Linked DNA regions of Pelodiscus sinensis. The protein of the gene in region 2 interacts with the protein of the main gene of each other region in a pairwise test. Links are inferred from orthologs where the notes say so. Each region holds a gene or a part of one and is shown on either strand. Other genes may lie near its edges. The genes, in order: CEBPE and CEBPG.

Region 1 (8,831 bases), on a different chromosome or scaffold from region 2:
GGCGGGGCTATCCTGGAGGGTGGTCCTTACTTCATTGGGGGCGGGGCTAACGCCAAGGGGCGGGGCTATCCTGGAGGGTGGGCCTAACTTCATTGGGGGCGGGGCTAACGCCAAGGGGCGGGGCTATCCTGGAGGGTGGGCCTAACTTCATTGGGGGCGGGGCTAACGCCAAGGGGCGGGGCTATCCTGGGGGGTGGGCCTACTGTCATGGGGGCGGGGCTATCTCCAGCAGGGTGGGGCTACTCCCAGGGAGCAGGGTTAAGAGCGGGCAGGCTGGGCTGGCTGTGGGGCTGGGGCCCCATGCCAGGGGGCTGGACTGACCCCGGTGCTGTCTCTCCCCAGATGGCGGAGCGCCCCCTGCCCGCGCTTGGGCCGGCCCAGGAGATGCGCTGTGTCCTGCACTGGTTCTCCGGCTGGTCGCCCCCCCAGCGGCAGCGCTTCCTGCGGGACCTGCTGGCCAAGGCCGTGCCTGGGAAGCTGCGCCCCCTGCTGGAGGGGCTGGAGGGGCTGAGTCTCTCCGGGGCGCCCCCCTCCCTCTTCCAGTGCCAGCTGCGCCTCTGGGACCAGTGGTTCCGGGGCTGGAGCGAGCCGGAGCGGAACCACTTTCTGGACCAGCTGGAGCAGGCCGAGCCGGCCTTCACCGCCCTCTTCTACCGCCAGCTGGCGGGCACCGCTGGGCAGGAGTAAGGGGCCCATGGCCTCGCACCCAGAGAATCTCTCCCCGGCCACGTTGCTCTGGAGTGGTTTACGTAGGGCCTACAGTAAGGTGAGCTGTGTACACTGCACCTCCAATGTTACCGCGGGAGCATGGCAGCTCCGGGAATGCCCCTCCCCTCGTGCGGCAGGACGAGCCTTGATTTCATCAAGAGGACTTCTGTTTATGTGGGACCTACAGTAAGTCGGGAGCTGTGGGGAAGGCACATGGACCTCCTGAAAATCCCTTCCCGCCACTGTCATGGGAGGAACTGTGCTGTCATCCGCTGATTGCTATTGTTGTAGGACCTACAGTAAGTGAGTCTGTTTGCCTGTGATCTACGTGCTATTGCATCAGCCAGCCAGGAGCCTCCATGCGACTTGCCAGTGCGGCCTGTGTTGACATAGACCCTACAACAACACTTTCTCTGCCCCACCGCTGGGGGCGATGCCAGCGGCTGTTTCTTCGTGGGGACTTGTTTCCGTAGGACCTACAGGCCTGGAGCAGCCTGCAGGGACACTGGGGAGTGGGCAGGGAGGCGTTGTTTATAAACAGTGAGTGGGTGGAGCGCCCCCGTGTGGTCTGTTCCCAGCGCTGCCGGGGGGCTGCCGAGGTGGAGAGGAAGCTGGTGAAGGAGGCAGGGGTTGGAGAGGTGCGGGGTGAAGACGGGCTGGGGGAGGGGTGCAGAGGGGCGAGGGAAGGGGGCTGCAGAGGTGTGGGGGGAGGATCTCCCCAGCTCCGCCCTGCGGGTGACGACAGCCAGGCCGGGAGTTTCGCAAACACCCCATGGAAACCCCCAGTGCAGGGGCCGCGGGGTAACGGCCGCTTTCACAATTCCGAGTAATCTCCCTGGCAGAGAGAAGGGGGGCAGGACCTTACCCCACACGGGGGGAGGGAGTAGGGGGAACGCTCCACCCCGGGGGGGACACGGCCCCTCTGCCCTGCCCCCAAGGAAGGTCCGGAGGTTGAGACACCAACCACGGGCTGAACCAACCTGCATTGCACAACCCCCCTTGGCCGGGGGAGGGGAGAGCGGGCCAGGGCCTGGGACCGGGCCAGCTGTGGGGGCCTGGGCGAGGCAGCCTGTGAGCCGGGGCACATCCCTCCCCCAGGATCCCAGTGCTAGTGTAGCCAGACGGGGGCAGCTCCCCCCAGTCCTGCTTCTAGCCCCGCTGCCTCCCTGCCTCAGTTTCCCGTTTCCTCAGCCCTCCTCCCCCCACAGATCACCAGGGCCCGAGCGTCTCAGCATGTTTATTGGCCGCCCCCTCCGCAGCCTCCCAGCCCCTTGCCCAGAGCTGCGGCCTCGGGCACCTGGCGGAACAGGGCCCGGAGCGTGTCCAGCTCCTGGCTGAGCTGCGCCACCCGGCTCTGCAGCCGCTCGTTCTCCGCCGCCAGCTCCAGCACCCGCTGCTGCGTCTCCAGCACCCGCCGCTTGGCCTTGTCCCGGCTCTTGCGCACGGCGATGTTGTTCCGCTCCCGCCGCAGGCGGTACTCCAGGCTGTCCTTGTTCACCGCCTTCTTGCCCTTGGGGGGGCCCGGCGAGGCCAGCAGGGGGCTGCAGGAGGGGCCCTGGCGAGAGAAACCGGGCCCAGTGGGCTGCAGGTGGTGCTGGGGGGCACTGGTCAGGAGTGAAGGTCAGTGCAGGATGGGAAGGGCACTGGGGGGAGCACTGAGGGTCACTTCAGGACGCCATTATGGGCTGTGGGTGCAGAGGTGCCGTGGGGGCTGTGGGTGGGGCACAGGGGGCACCGTGGGGAGCTGCAGGTCAGGAGTGAGGGAGATGGGGGGCTGTGGGGGTCACTTCAGGGCAGGAGGGGGGCTGCAGGGCAGGAGTGAGGGGGATGGGGGGCTGTGGGGGTCACTTCAGGGCGGGAGGGGACAGTAGGGTAGGAGTGAGGGGGATGGGGGGGCTGTGGGGGTGACTTCGGGACAGGAGGGGGGGCTGCAGGGCAGGAGTGAGGGGGATGGGGGGCTGTGGGGGTCACTTCAGGGAGGGGGGGGCTGCAGGGCAGGAGTGAGGGGGATGGGGGGCTGTGGGGGTCACTTCAGGGAGGGGGGGGCTGCAGGGCAGGAGTGAGAGCGCCTTACCTTGAGCGTGCGCAGGGCCGGCGCGGTGCCCCCCGGGGGCAGGCTGACGGCCGTCTGCCCACAGTGCGCCACCTGGAAGGGCAGGGGGTTGTAGCCGCCACGGCGTCCGGGCTCAGCCCCCCGTGGCTCCTCCTTCACCAGGGCGCCGTAGCCCTTGTGGGGCCCCCCATAGCCCCAGGGCTCCCCCTGCAGGTAGCCTGGGAAGGGGGTGCTCTTCTGCGCCCGCTGAGGGGGGCCCTGCAGAAGCTCCGACAGCAGCTGCTCGTCGCCGATGTAGGCAGCCAGGTCGATGGAGCCCTCGTGTTCCCCGAGCGCCCCCAGCTCGGCCACCATGGGACGTGGGGGGGCCCGCTCGCAATCATAGAACCCCCCCTGCGACATGGACGCTTTCTTTCCTTCCGCTCGCCGCCGGCTCGCGCCTCCGCCGCTCTCCCCGCCGCTCGCCACCGGCTCGCGCCTCCGCCGCTCTCCCGCCGCTCGCCACCGGCTCGCGCCTCCGCCGCTCTCCCGCCGCTCTCCTGCCGCTCGCCGCCGGCTCGCGCCTCCGCCGCTCTCCCGCCGCTCGCCACCGGCTCGCGCCTCCACCGCTCTCCCGCCGCTCTCCCGCCGCTCGCCACCGGCTCGCGCCTCCGCCGCTCTCCTGCCACTTGCCGCTTGCCCTTTGCCTTCAGTCACTTTGTCATTCTCTTATTCTTTCTCTTGTTCCTTCCTGGACCTGCTGGTTGTTCTCACTTCTCTTCCTCTTTTTCACGCTGATTCGTTCCTTCGTTTCTTTCTTTCCATCGGCCACTTTCTCCTTCGTTCTCTCTGCCCGCTCCTCGCTTGCTTGGGTTTTCTTTCTCCCTGCGTCGGATTTCCTTTCCCTCCGTTCTCTCTCGTTCCTTCTCTCTCTCCTTGTCGGCTCTTTCCTCGCTCCGTCTGTCCCTACTTCATCGGCCTCTCGCCGTCCCTTCTCGCACTCAGCCCCTGTCTGCCTTGCTCCCTGGCTTCTCTTCCTCCCTCTGCCTCCTTCTCTCTCTCTGTCTCTCACGTTCCCCCCGTCCCCCCGCCCCCCTTTTCCTTCCTCTTTCCGATGGACTCCCAGCTCCCCCTGCTGATGACACCAGGGGACCCCACCCTGCCCCCCCAAGGGTCTGAGGGGATGGCATTGGGTGTCTGTCCCCAACATCCAGGGGAGCCCTGTGGGGCCTACCCCAGAAATGGGGTAACCTTTCCCTTTGCAGCCCCCTTTTCAAAGCACACCCCAATTTCACTTCTCACAGCCCTGCCCCATAAGCCGTTCCCGCAGACTCCACCCACAGCTCGCCCAGCCCAACTGGTTCCCCTCGTTCCCCACCAGCAGCCCCTGCCTGCCCAATCCTGCCCCCCTAGCTCCGGGAGCACCCCACACACCTGACCCACAGCCCCTGCCATTCCAGCTGCCCCCAGCTCACTGCTGACTCCCAGTCGGCAGCCCCCTCCCAGCCCAGCCCCCCACATCCTGCAACCCAGAGGGCAAGACCCACCTCTGGCCACAAGGTGGCACCATTCCATGAAGGAGCGGTAGGGAGGAGCTAGGGGCTGCTGGCAGGGGCGTGCGGAATGGGGCCGGGATGGCAGGGGGTCCCCGCCTGGCCTTACAGCAGGGAGAGCGGGAAGGTGCTAGCTGGGCGGGGTCCCAGCAGGAGTCACTGGGGGGATCTGGCCGGGTCCCCGCAAGGGGGGCTGTGGGCAGCCCCCGCTCTCACCCTCCCCAGCCCCCAGGCAGGCTCCACATGGCGAGGTCACTTTAATTTATTACATCAAAAACCAGAGACAAACAATGGAAAAGGCCACAAAGTCGGGGCCCGGCTGTCGGGGCCAGAGAACGGTTAAGGCATCTGCCCCTGCCAGGGCGCGCCTCTGCCAGCGGGGGGCGCTGGGGGAGGGGGGCAGAGAGGGGTCTGGGGGAGCAGAGCCAGAGGCAAGGTGGGCACCATGGGGCACAGTCCATGGCAGGGTGAGGGGCTCAGTCGTGGGGCCGATCAGGGTCCCCGGCGTGGCACATGGGCTCCAGCTGCTCGGTGCACTCGGGGTCGGGGGACTCCATCTCGGGGTACACCACCCCACACATCTTCTGGGTCACTCGCGTCACTGCCGCTGGGGGAGACGGGGGTTAGAGAACGGGGGCGTGGCCCTTCCGCCGCCCTCCAGACAGACGCTCCCTTCCCCACCCCTAGCCAGCTGGGGGAGACGGGGGGTTAGAGAACGGGGGGCGTGGCCCTTCCGCCACCCTCCAGACAGACGCTCCCTTCCCCACCCCTAGCCAGCTGGGGGAGACGGGGGGTTAGAGAACGGGGGGCGTGGCCCTTCCGCCGCCCTCCAGACAGACGCTCCCTTCCCCACCCCTAGCCAGCTGGGGGAGACGGGGGGTTAGAGAACGGGGGGCGTGGCCCTTCCGCCGCCCTCCAGACAGACGCTCCCTTCCCCACCCCTAGCCAGCTGGGGGAGACGGGGGGTTAGAGAACGGGGGGTGTGGCCCTTCCGCCGCCCTCCAGACAGACGCTCCCTTCCCCACCCCTAGCCAGCTGGGGGAGACGGGGGGTTAGAGAACGGGGGGTGTGGCCCTTCTGCCGCCCTCCAGACAGACGCTCCCTTCCCCACCCCTAGCCAGCTGGGGGAGACGGGGGTTAGAGAACGGGGGGCGTGGCCCTTCCGCCGCCCTCCAGACAGACGCTCCCTTCCCCACCCCTAGCCAGCTGGGGGAGACGGGGGGTTAGAGAACGGGGGCATGGCCCTTCCGCCGCCCTCCAGACAGACGCTCCCTTCCCCACCCCTAGCCAGCTGGGGGAGACGGGGGGGTTAGAGAACGGGGGGCGTGGCCCTTCCGCCGCCCTCCAGACAGACGCTCCCTTCCCCACCCCTAGCCAGCTGGGGGAGACGGGGGGTTAGAGAACGGGGGGCGTGGCCCTTCCGCCGCCCTCCAGACAGACGCTCCCTTCCCCACCCCTAGCCAGCTGTCCCTCTTCCCCCTCCCGTCCCTACCCTGTGCCTGGCCGGCTGTCCCCCCAAGCCCTGTGCCCCTGCCCCCCGGCCAGCCCACTTACCCAGGCAGGTGTAGACGGCAGGTGGCTTGCGGCGCCAGGCCACACCCAGCCCGTAGACGGGCACCCCGGTGAGCATGATGGCCAGCCCCACGCCGCACACCACCGGCTCCGACCACAGGCTGAAGATGAGCAGGAAGGCCCAGAAGAGCAGGTAGATCACGGGGAAGAACAGGCTGACCTGTGGGGACAGGGGGCTTAGCGGGGGCAGGAGGCGCAGTGGGAGGGGCACCCAGGGCGGGTCTCACCTTGATCAGGCGGGAGGGCAGGGGGGCTCACTTGGATGGCGTGGGGGGAGGGCCATGGGACGTGGCGGGCTGCGGGGGGGTGGCTCACCTGGATGGGCTGGGCCGTGGCAGAGCCAGTGCGGGCGGGAGGGCCGTGGGGGGGCTCACCTGGATGGGGCAGGCCACAGGGGGAGGGGGGCTTACCCTGATGGGATGGGTCAGGCGGGGGGAGGGGGGCTCATCTTGAAAGGGCAGACCAGGCGGGGGAGTGGGTTCACCGGTATGGTGTGGGCTGCCGGAGGGGGGGCAGGGGTCACCTGGATGGGGCAGGCCAGTGCGGGGCAGAGGGCCGGGAAGGGCTCACCCTGATGGGACGGGATGAGGGAGCGGGCTCACCTTGATGGGGCGGGCCAGGTGGAGGGGTGGGAGCTCACTGTGACGGGACGGGACGAGGGGGGGTGGGGCTCACCTTGATGGGGCGGGCCAGGCGGGGGGGTGGGAGCTCACTGTGACGGGACGGGACGAGGGGGGCTCACTGTGACGGGAGGTGGGGGGCGGGGCTCACCTTGATGGGGCGGGCCAGGCGGGGGGGGCGTGACCTCACTGTGACGGGACGGGACGAGGGGGGGCTCACTGTGACGGGAGGTGGGGGCAGGGCTCACCTTGATGGGGCGGGCCAGGCGGGGGGGGCGTGACCTCACTGTGATGCGATGGGACAAGGGGCGGGGCTCACCTTGATGGGGCGGGCCAGGCGGGGGGGGGGCGTGACCTCACTGTGACGGGACGGGACGAGGGGGGGCTCACTGTGACGGGAGGTGGGGGCGGGGCTCACCTTGATGGGGCGGGCCAGGCGGGGGGGGCGTGACCTCACTGGGACGGGACGGGGGGGGCTCACTGTGACGGGAGGTGGGGGCGGGGCTCACCTTGATGGGGCGGGCCAGGCGGGGGGGCGTGACCTCACTGTGATGCGATGGGACAAGGGGCGGGGCTCACCTTGATGGTGCGGGCCAGACGGGGGGGGCGTGAACTCAGTGGGACGGGACGAGGGGGGGCTCACTGTGACGGGAGGCGGGGGCGGGGCTCACCTTGATGGGGCGGGCCAGACGGGGGGGGCGTGAACTCACTGGGACGGGACGGGACGAGGGGGGGCTCACTGTGACGGGAGGCGGGGGCGGGGCTCACCTTGATGGGGCGGGCCAGACGGGGGGGGCGTGAACTCACTGGGACGGGACGGGACGAGGGGGGGCTCACTGTGACGGGAGGCGGGGGCGGGGCTCACCTTGATGGGGCGGGCCAGACGGGGGGGGCGTGAACTCAGTGGGACGGGACGAGGGGGGGCTCACCGTGACGGGAGGCGGGGGCGGGGCTCACCTTGATGGGGCGGGCCAGACGGGGGGGGGCGTGAACTCAGTGGGACGGGACGAGGGGGGGCTCACCGTGACGGGAGGCGGGGGCGGGGCTCACCTTGATGGGGCGGGCCAGACGGGGGGGGGCGTGAACTCAGTGGGACGGGACGAGGGGGGGCTCACCGTGACGGGAGGCGGGGGCGGGGCTCACCTTGATGGGGCGGGCCAGACGGGGGGGCGTGAACTCACTGGGACGGGACGGGACGAGGGGGGGCTCACTGTGACGGGAGGCGGGGGCAGGGCTCACCTTGATGGGGCGGGCCAGACGGGGGGGCGTGAACTCACTGGGACGGGACGAGGGGGGCTCACCGTGACGGGAGGCGGGGGCGGGGCTCACCTTGATGGGGCGGGCCAGGCGGGGGGGCGTGACCTCACTGTGATGCGATGGGACAAGGGGCGGGGCTCACCTTGATGGTGTGGGCCAGACGGGGGGGGGCGTGAACTCAGTGGGACGGGACGAGGGGGGGCTCACCGTGACGGGAGGCGGGGGCGGGGCTCACCTTGATGGTGTGGGCCAGACGGGGGGGGGCGTGAACTCAGTGGGACGGGACGGGACGAGGGGGGGCTCACTGTGACGGGAGGCGGGGGCGGGGCTCACCTTGATGGGGCGGGCCAGATGGGGGGGGCGTGAACTCACTGGGACGGGACGAGGGGGGGCTCACCGTGACGGGAGGCGGGGGCGGGGCTCACCTTGATGGGGCGGGCCAGACGGGGAGGCCGTGAACTCACTGGGACGGGACGGGACGAGGGGGGGCTCACTGTGACGGGAGGCGGGGGCGGGGCTCACCTTGATGGGACGGGACGGGACGGGGGGGGCTCACCGGGACGGGAGGCGGGGGCGGGGCTCACCTTGATGGGGCGGGCCAGACGGGGGGGGCGTGAACTCACTGGGACGGGACGAGGGGGGCTCACCGTGACGGGAGGCGGGGGCGGGGCTCACCTTGATGGGGCGCACCATGTCCGGCTGCCGCCAGCGCAGCACGATCTGCCCGGCCACGGTGACCCCGTAGAACAGGTAGTTGATGAAGCCCACGTAGTTGATGAGGGTGTAGATGTCGCTGGTCACCAGCATGAGCAGGGTGGACAGGCACTGTGGAGAGGGGAGGCCGTGGGGGCGGGGCCATTCCGAAATCCCACCCCTTGTCAGTGCATAAGCCCCGCCCCTGCCCCATTCTCCAAGCTTCACCCCCTGCCTGAAATCCCGCCCCCAGCAGGCACCAGTGACTCACGGTGAAGACCAGAGCGGGGATGGGGGTGCAGCGCTGCATATGGATCATGGCCAGCACGCTGGGGAGGTGGCCCTCACGGGCTCCTGCGAAGAACAGCCTGCGGGGGAGGGGAGAAGTAGGTGTGG
Region 2 (9,470 bases):
ATGAGCACATCCAAGCCCTGTCATCCCAGGAAGAGGGCCAAAGGGCAAGGGCTTTAGCTCAAATCAGGGTGCCTGTAACCTGAGCCCTACCACCCAGAACTAAAGTCAGGGGCTTTTGCTTCAGCCCCAGGATGATGGGACTTGTGCTTTGGCCTTGGGCCCAGCAGTTTAAGTGAGCTCTGATAACGCCATTAAAATCAGGTTGTGACCCAGCCTGGAGTCCCAACTAGGGATGTGAGTGAGTAGTTGACTACTCACATTCCCTCTGCCCCCACTGCCTCTGTATTGGAGGCAGCAGGGGGAAGGGAAGCAGGAGCCGACTTAAAAGCCGATTCCCCTCCTCCCTCCCAGCACCACCTCCATGGTGCCACCTCCCATGCTGCTGCCTCCTGCTAGGACCCTGTTGACAGGGGCTGCTGCTGGAACAGCCTCTGCCCACAGCCAGAATAGGCCACTATGGACAGGGGATGCTCCGGCTGGGCAGGGAGCCCAGCTCAGTCCCAGCTCACGCTGTGTCCAGGAAGTACCTCAACTGCAGCTCTGTAGTTTAAACATAGTGGAAACCAGGCTGTCTGCCCACCCAACTCCTACTACATTTAAGATGCAGAGCTACAGCAGGGGCAGCTCTTGGACATGGCATGAACCAGGACTCAGCCAGACTTGCTCAGTCCCAGCTCACGCTGGGTCCGGGAACTATCCACTGCTGCGGCTCTGCAGTTTAAAGGTAGTAAGAGCTGGGTGGGTGGGCAGCCTGGCTCTTCCTACATTTAAACTGCAGAACCACAGAGGGGTAGCCCCCAGACTTGGCACAAGCCAGAACTAAGCACTTCTTCCCTTATCCACTAAATTTTATCAACTATACAATTAGCGAATTACCCACCACTTAACATCCTTAGTCCCGACACAGTTTGAGAACCAGAGAATCAAAACTCTGTTCACAAGAAGATACATAATTTCTCTCCTGTATACGCTAGATTCTTCATAAACCAACCCAGGACATGAAAACTGAAAGTAAGAGATAAGTATCACAATCAGTTGTGCCCATAAAAGAGGCAGGATATATAGTACATGTGTGCGAAATCCAGGAAAACCAGATTTCATCCAAGTGCCAGGTATGTACAAACAGCATACATGCCATGTGAAGTATGTAACAGTGATATTAAGAGAACCTAACAAGCTGAGGCAACTGAGCCTGCAAACACAAGTTGTGTATAAAAAACACACACCACCACCTCGGGGAGACTCACAAGTACTGACAGTTCAAAAACAGGACTGATCTCTATTCATGTTGGATTAAAGGAAAATACCATTTTTGAATAAAATGACCAGTTACTAACACAAGACCTGATTGTTTAGGCATAGCACAACAGATTGATTATCTGACTCCTGCACACAGATAATAGATCAACACAGATGGTTGTAAATGAGACACTGAGCTTATTAATGTCTGCTGTAAGAGTAAAGACAAATGTGTATCTTCAGGGCTATAGTCTGTCTATACGAAGGACTGTTTCCCTTATTGTGGTGTCCCTGTTTTTTCTTAACTGGCTTAGTTCAGTCACCAGAAAGTCATATATGTCAATTTTCACATGGGAAAGGAAGGTGATGTGCAACTCCATACCAATATAAAGAGTTCATTTGAGAATTCCTGTCTTTTACTGACTAGTAATTATAATTACAATATTTAGCCCTTGCACAGTACTTTTCATCCATGGCTGTCAAAAGACTTTAAAAAGGATGTCAGTATTATTATCCCTCATAGCCTGAGGGAGAGAGATGGGTCAGCCGCAGCCTCAGCCTGGCCCAACCTGCTTTCCCCTCCCCCCACCTGGGGGGGGAGAGCCAGGGCTGCCTACCCCCAGAGAGGGAGGTTGGCGAGCAGGGATCTGTGCCCCCTAGTAAACTTAAAAGTTAATTTACTTTTCAGTATTTATAACTTTTCCTCTGACTCAGATAACAGTAAGTTTATTTTTTCATTTATAGTAAGTTTCATTTTCAAGTTACCAACGTTCAGATTGTAAACAATACAAGGGACTTTTTTTTAATCAACTCTTTCGTTTCCACTTGTAATATTTTTAAATTTACAAAAACATTTGAAAAGCCTCCAATGATCTAAATTTGTGGCTACAATGAGAGAATCCCTGTAAAAGTGTCACTCAAAAGAACTACTCTATTCTAACTATATATTTTCATCCCTTTTCTACATGTTACTTGTGATGTTGAAGAGTCTGCAGATCAGGGTTCTTAGGTGGTAACTTTGCTGAAATACAGAAGTACATACGTTTCTAAACAGCCATACATACGTTCCCGCTAAAACCTTTTCATAAGTTTCCCAATCCTTTGACAAAACCATGGGTCTTCACCTTTAACTTCCAAGGCTCTGTCATTGTAAACTATGAAAACCTTACAAATATAAAGGATTTTTTAAAAGTACCTTTTCCTCACACACGATACTTTTTTAAAATTCCTGTTTGTTTTTAAAGTTATGTTTACTTCCCGTTTGACTTTAAACAGTGCTGTTTACAATGTTGGTTTCCGCCAGGAAGTCAGTATAACACAGCACCCAACAGGAAAGGAAGAGGGCTTCATTCTAAACACCAAGGATTATATTCTTCTTCAGAAACTATTTTGATCTCTCTTAAAAGAAAGATAAAGGAATCACTTAATACAGTAGCTAATACATCATGATGTGCATAAATATGAACAATAGATATTTTTATTAATATGCTGTGCTCCTAGCCCACCTTGCTGGTGTCTTTGAATGACGGGATCTTCCATTTCCAAAAAGGCCCAATAAAAGCTTGTGTACGGCAACTACACATTTTGCAAACAAATTAACTTGCTGCAGCGGTTATTCGATTTTGTGCTCTAGGCCTCAATCATCCTCTTGTTGATTTCTAGGTCACTATTTACACTTCTCTTAGCATGAGGGTATGTGGCTGTAGCTCTCTCCCTCTGCCCTTACTGCTGCCTCACTGGGAACTAGGCAGGGAGGAGGGCCTGTCACTCCCCCACCAGGAAGCAGGCTGGCTACTAGGGGAGCAGAGGCCTGTCTCCCTCTCCCCGGGCTCCCCTCTCCGTGCCAAGCATGACTTCATCCCATCGGGGAGGAGAGTTGCCTGGAGATTGCATCATACGCTCTCCACGCGAGCGTAACCGTGAGGAAAGTCCCGGCCTCCCCCCCCCCCCCCCCCATACACTCTCTCCCTTCCCCAAACGTCTCTCTAGCGAGCAGCCCCCTCTCCCACCACCCCCCCGCGCTACCCCAGACACCCCCACTGAGCAGAGCCCTCCCTCACACCCCCACCTCCCAGCCCCACGCCATGCCCCTACAAACCCCGCCCCCACTGACTAGACCCCCCCTCCCCACCCCACCCACTCCTAGAGACCCCGCCCCCGGTAGCTACACCCCCAAGACTCCCCACAGCCCAGACCCCCACCCCGTACTGACCCCTTCCCCGCTGACCAGCCCCCCCCATGTCCACCCCACACACGCCTCCCCTTGCAGACCCCGCCAGCACCCAGCGCTCCCCAGACCCCCGTAGCCTCCCACCACTGCCCAATGGTCCTCCTGCAGCAGCCCCACTGCCGCCTGCTCCCGCGCCGCCCCGCTACGGCCTGCGCCCGGTGTGAGCCCCCCGCCCCCGGGGATACCGCGCCGGAACGGGCGGGGGGGGGGGTCGGTCTGCGCGCGGCGGGGCGGCCTCGCGCCTCACCTGGCCCAGGGATGGAGAGCGGTATCGATCGGGGGTGGGGGGCGCGGGCTGGGCCCGAGTCTCTTTCTTTAAAACTGGCGAGTGAGGCGAGCGGCGATTGCGAAACCCTTCTCCTTCGCCCAGCGTCCTGGCCAATCAGCGGCCGGCCTGCCGCAGGGATGATGCAATGGCCGCGCCGATTGGCAGTCCCCTCAGCCAATCGGACACCCCCGCTGCTCTCTTAAAGCGAGAAGCGCTGTTTTTGTGGGCTGGTAAATCCCCCAGGGGCTGGGCGCTGCTCCCACCCTCCCTCCTTCCCCCCGCGCCCCCATCCCGACCAGAGCATGGGCAGCGCTGTTACCCCAGTAGCGTCCCCCACGGCCGGGGAGGGGGGGGGGGCTGGTAAACCAATTATTCCAATAGCCTCCTCCTACTGGCTGGGATTGGGGAAAACGTGTTACCGCCATAGCCCCGCCCACACACACACTCACACACACACACACACACACACACACACACTGCCTGGGATTTGGGGGAAACCTGTTACCACCAGAACCCCACCCACCTCTTCCCTCTTCCCCCAACAGACACTGAGGCTATGTCTAGACTGCAGGCAGAGATCTTCTGAAAAAACTTCTGAAATAGAGCATCTACACAGCAAAAGCACATGGAAAAAGCTACCTGCTTTTTCAAAAGATAGCATCCCCACTTAATAGACACTATCTCACAGTTAAGCTGTGATTACTATGGGAGGAGTGGCCACCAGGGCACCTGTGCATTTTCCTCTTCCTCCAAAAGACCTCCCTCTACCCCATCCACACACGCTTTTTTCCAAAAGAGCTCTTTCGGAAAAAGGCTTCTTCCTCATAGAATGAGGATTACCAAGGTTAGAAAAAAACTTTTCTTCTTTTGATTTACTTTCGAAAGAACGCAATTGCAGTGTGGATGTTACTCAAGTTTTGTCGGAAAAACAGCCGTTTTCCCGACAAAACTCTGTAGTGTAGACATACACTGACTGAGATGGGGGCAAGAGTGGGCAGGGGTGCTGAAACAAATTTTACAGTGGGGGTCCTGAGAGCCATTCAACCAAACTGTATACCCTGCACATAATGGAAATCACTTCAAGCTGGGAGCACACCCCCCTACCCCTTGTACCTCTGGTTCCAGCTGGCATGAGAGTAGGTGCCTAGAAGATACTCAGAGGAAAAATGCTCTAGCTTTACAAACAAGTTATGTCTCTATAACAAACTGGACCAAAAAAGCCATGTACCATAAAAAAACAAAAGAAACAGAAACAAAACGAAAAAAGGGGAAAGCCAACAACCCTCATTTCTTGAAGAACCTTCTGTGGCTGTCTCTACAGTTCATTTTAGGTTCTGATCTTATTCACCTTTGTCTTTCTGTATTTTGGTGACATCTAGGCACAAGAACTCTTATTGGCAATCTTTGAAATTCAGGAATTTGTAGTAATTTTTAGCAACCAAAAGTATAAGTACTGGACATTCTCACTGATATTGCATCCTTGTTTCTTTGTTGAACCCTTCCTGCAATATCTCCAATGATCTCCCAGTATTATAATTAGTATTATCTAATTATAATGTATTAGATAAATACATTATAAGGTGTTAATTAAAGGCCTGGAGAACATCCCAGTCAATGTAAAACAAAATACATTACATTCCCCCCCAAAGCATATGACTTGTATGTTTTGCTGACATGACATGTCTGCCTACACCCATATCTGCCACACTGCTTTCCTGAAAGCAAACCAGTCTAGCTTCAGCCAGGAGAAATTTTAATGACAACAGTGAGAGTAAACAAAGCTAATATTATTGCACTTCTGAACTGGGCAACAGGTGAGCTCCCTCTTATATTCTATGCGAGGAACTTGGTTACTTCTCAAATGTAGATTCAACTTCTTGGTCTGAAAGTGAAAACAAGTCATCCAGGGCCTCTCTGGAAATGTCCTTCTTTCTAACACAGCCATTAGTGTCAAATAAAGATGGAGTTCTTACTCATGTTCCTACCAAAGCAGTAAAATTTCTATTTAACCACCACCCCAATCTCAACAAGTAGGATGGGGTCTATTGTGGTAAGAACTTTTACCCTCTCCTCCAAAGCCAGGCAGTGTGGTAGGGTGGACAGAGAACATTTGTGTAACAGTTTTTAGCCCTGCCACCCACCCACACAGACACACACAGTAAGACACGCAATCGCAGGTTGAGCGCATAGGACTATTGGATTAACAAATTTTCTCACACGCACATCCAAAGTCTCAAGCACTGTGTGTGTGGGGGCTTTATGGATAACAATTTTAAACTCCCGAGATACAACACAAATACCCTGAAATGCACATGTAAAAATATGTACTTATCTGCATGGCGAATAAAAAGTGGGCTTCTGATCTTATGTGCCTTTTATAAACCCTGTAAAAATAAAATATATCTTGAGGAGGAATTCCCAGGATTAGTCTGGGATTATTTCCTCATCAATCATCAAATATTTGTTTTAACATCTTCAGCATTAATTTTGTTCTTTCCCAGTTGAAACTGCTTGATTTTTTTGGTGGTACAGCAGCCTGCAGCTATTCACTAGAGGTTAACTTATATTACACCAACTGCATAAACAAAAAATCAAGGTAAATACGAAACATTAGCCAGGCTCTAGTAACACTTAAATAACCTGTGTATTTCTGGGACCTCAAGTGCCTTAGGGTATGTTTACACAGCAAAGTTATTTTGAAATAACAGCCATTATTTCAAAATAATTTTACTAGCATCTACAAACCGCTATTTCAAAATTAATTTGAAATAGCAGAGCGCTTATTTCGAATTTGGTAAACCTCATTCCACGAGGAATAACGTCAAATTCAAAATAGATATTTCGAAATAAGTGCTCATATCGAAATAGGGGGCCTCCAGCCTTCCTAGGGTGCCCTGGTGGCCACTCCAGCCTCAACCAAGAACACTCCTCTCCCGCCCTCCTCCCCAGAGCCCTTAAAGGGGTTGACTCTGGCCACAGTGCCTGTGCCAGCTCCAAGCCTGCCAGCCCAGAGCCAGCAGTCACTGTTCCTGACCCAGTGGCCCCAAGCCACTGGCAGCCAGCCCTCCACCACTCCCCAGGAGCAGTCTGCCAGCTCCCAGGAGCCTGCCAGGGCCCGGAGAAGGCAGGCACCTTCCTGGTCCAGGGTGGAGATCATGGACCTTATTCAGATTTGGGGGTGATTCCCCCAACATCAATGATCTCCGCAGTAGGCAGAGGAACATAGCCGTCTATGGCAGGATAGCTGCCAGCCTGGCCACATGCAAACCCAGGAGCAGGTTTGCATGACAATCAAGTTGGTCCGGCAAGACTCCCAACCCCGAGCCCTGAGCTTCCCCTCCCCCTTCTTCCTCTTGCTTCCCCCTTCCAGCTCCCTCCTCCCAGGTTTCCCCCTCCCCTCTCCCGCCTCCTTTCCCCAGTCTCACCAGAGTTTCATTCCCCCTCCCCCCAGTTTTGTTAAATAAAGAAAGTTAGTGTTCATGAAAATACGTGTATTTTATTTGACATCAGGAAGGTGGGTTAGGGAAGGGTAAGTGGAAGGACATGAGAGAGGAATAAGGCACAAGCTCCCAGTGGGGCACACCAGGGAGACTCTTAGCGCTCCTCAGGGTGGAAGCTCTCCCGCAGGACCTCCTGGATACTGACAGCCCCCGATGGACCTCCCGGATGGCAGCCTGCAGGAGGCATACCTGGGAGGTCGACAAATACCTTTGATGTCGACCGCGGAATGTCCAGACTACCGCGCTGAGCCGACAAACAGCTGATCGGCTCAGCGCAGCAGCCATGTAAATTTAAATGAAGCGGCGATTATTTAAATCGCTGCTTCATTTTCCTATGCCGGGTAGTCTAATCTACATGCCTCTGTCGTCAGAGGCATGTAGTCTAGATGTACCCTGTTGTGTGTCTATATATCTATATCTATATATATATTCTAAAGTGCAGCTGTCATTACTTAAAGAGGCATATTCTCCTTTAAACCTTACAAACTCTTTTAAGATGGTTCACAACTACCTATCACATGGCATTTGAAAACGATATTGTCCTTATTTTAATAACTGTGATATTTGCATGATCTTGGTTTTATGTTTATTATTTGTACTATCTTCTGCAAATGTTTGTGTTCATAAATAAAAACAGAATGTGCCTTTACTTTTCCTTACATTTTCAGATCTAATCAGTCTGCATTTAGCAATTTGACTTGCATATTTCTGTTTAAAGTTTTACTTTCGTGCTGGCATTTTCATAAATAGAATGCTAATGCCAGATCACAAGATGCATATAACATACACTTTCTTGAATTAGACAAGAATTAAATCATGTCCCTCTGTGAAGTTAGGTCACATGTGATTTTGATATTATTTTTGAACTTTATTATATATGAGACAAAAAGTTAACTTTGTGTGTCTAAATGGCTCAATTTTTTCAAGAGTGCTGACCACCCATAACTCCCACTGACATCAAAAGAAGCCATAGATACTCAACACCTATGAACATCAGGTAATTTATATTTTAAAAGGCTGAATATTGATACAGTAGTCTAATTTGAGGCACTCAGCTTTGAAAAGTTTGAATCAAGTTTACTTACAGAGATATACCTATCTTATAGAGCTGGAAGGGACCTTGAGAGGTCAGCCAGTCCCCTACCCTCACGAGTACCATCCCTGACAGAATTGCCCCAGATCCCTAAATGCTCCCCAAGGGCTGAGCTCATAATCTGGGGTTTAACAGGCCAATTCTCAAACCACTGAGCTATTACTCCCTCCAGTGAAGTCAAGAGCAAAAGTTCTTCTGTATCCCTACATTTCTAGACTGCTCTGAGCCAGCCTTATCTAAAGAGAAGGTAAATCATGTTCTAGCAAGATTTTAAACAGAATAGCAAGCGGTGCCTGCCTTTACACTCTTTTCAGGTTTGCCTTAGATCACTAGCAGCCCAAATCTGCTCCTAGTAAAAACATTGGCAGTTTTGCTGTTTACTTCAGTGGACCAAGCAGTCCAAGCACTAGCTAATCTTACCTCAGTATTTATAGTGTGCACTATGCTTGATATAAGGCTTTTTAGTTATCTAACGCAAATGAAAAGGTGTTTTTTTTTCAAGTGACCAGGGACAAATAATAGGCTTCTCACCGCCATCAGTCATGCTCCCATCACTACAATGTGACAGAGAGGTGAGGCTGAGGAGCTATATATGGGAAAAAAAGAAGTAGGTGCACAGACTGAAAGAAAAATACAATGTATCACAGATGCACTAGATTTAAATGGGACTCATTAAACCCAAAGCAAGTCTGAATGAGAATAAGTGGCATGCACCTGGGAATAAAAGGTGAATTCTCAAGTACCCAGGTTTAGTAACTGCCACACCTGTCCTATTTTCCCAAAAGCACAAATGAGGCTGCAAGGATTGAGATCGCTTAGTATTTCAATGCATAGGGCCATGGCTGTTTTCCAAGAAGTGATCAGCCACTGCATGAAAATCCCCACCCATAATTACTAGGGTATTCATAGTATTTGTCATGGGGAGTATTTTAATAAAGAATTTTTTCTGATTCATATACACCTGATATTAAACAGCATTCAGGTTTTAGGGGTAAATCTTCAGTCAGCTGAAAAAACTTCTTGGTGGATCAGAACAACAACTTGAACAAAGTAGGTATACAAATAGTAATGAAATATGAGAGGCCTAGCTCTGTTTATTCTGGTTCAGTCCCTTGTAGTGGGGAGGAGGGCAAATACTGT

The links.
Region 1: the proteins of CEBPG (region 2) and CEBPE interact in a two-hybrid assay, tested with the Homo sapiens proteins (2 studies listed by BioGRID and IntAct, with this or other methods). The link is inferred for Pelodiscus sinensis from reciprocal best matches to the Homo sapiens genes CEBPG and CEBPE.

The regions. Positions count from the first base shown.
Region 1 is NW_027465928.1:90,244-99,074, reverse strand, and holds CEBPE (CCAAT/enhancer-binding protein epsilon), read right to left. Parts: upstream 4,401-8,831; 5' UTR 3,164-4,400; coding exon 2,783-3,163; intron 2,264-2,782; coding exon 1,946-2,263; 3' UTR 1,931-1,945; downstream 1-1,930. Other genes in the region: CUNH14orf119 (uncharacterized protein C14orf119 homolog), read left to right, coding at 343-687; SLC7A8 (large neutral amino acids transporter small subunit 2), read right to left, coding at 4,770-4,900, 5,848-6,025, 8,418-8,567, 8,707-8,803. UniProt on the Homo sapiens protein: Transcriptional activator. C/EBP are DNA-binding proteins that recognize two different motifs: the CCAAT homology common to many promoters and the enhanced core homology common to many enhancers.
Region 2 is NC_134722.1:21,967,644-21,977,113, forward strand, and holds the start of CEBPG (CCAAT/enhancer-binding protein gamma), read right to left. Parts: upstream 3,869-9,470; 5' UTR 3,717-3,868; intron 3,194-3,716; exon of another isoform or gene 2,745-3,193; intron 2,638-2,744; 5' UTR 2,435-2,637; intron 2,400-2,434; exon of another isoform or gene 881-2,399; intron 1-880. UniProt on the Homo sapiens protein: Transcription factor that binds to the promoter and the enhancer regions of target genes. Binds to the enhancer element PRE-I (positive regulatory element-I) of the IL-4 gene. Binds to the promoter and the enhancer of the immunoglobulin heavy chain.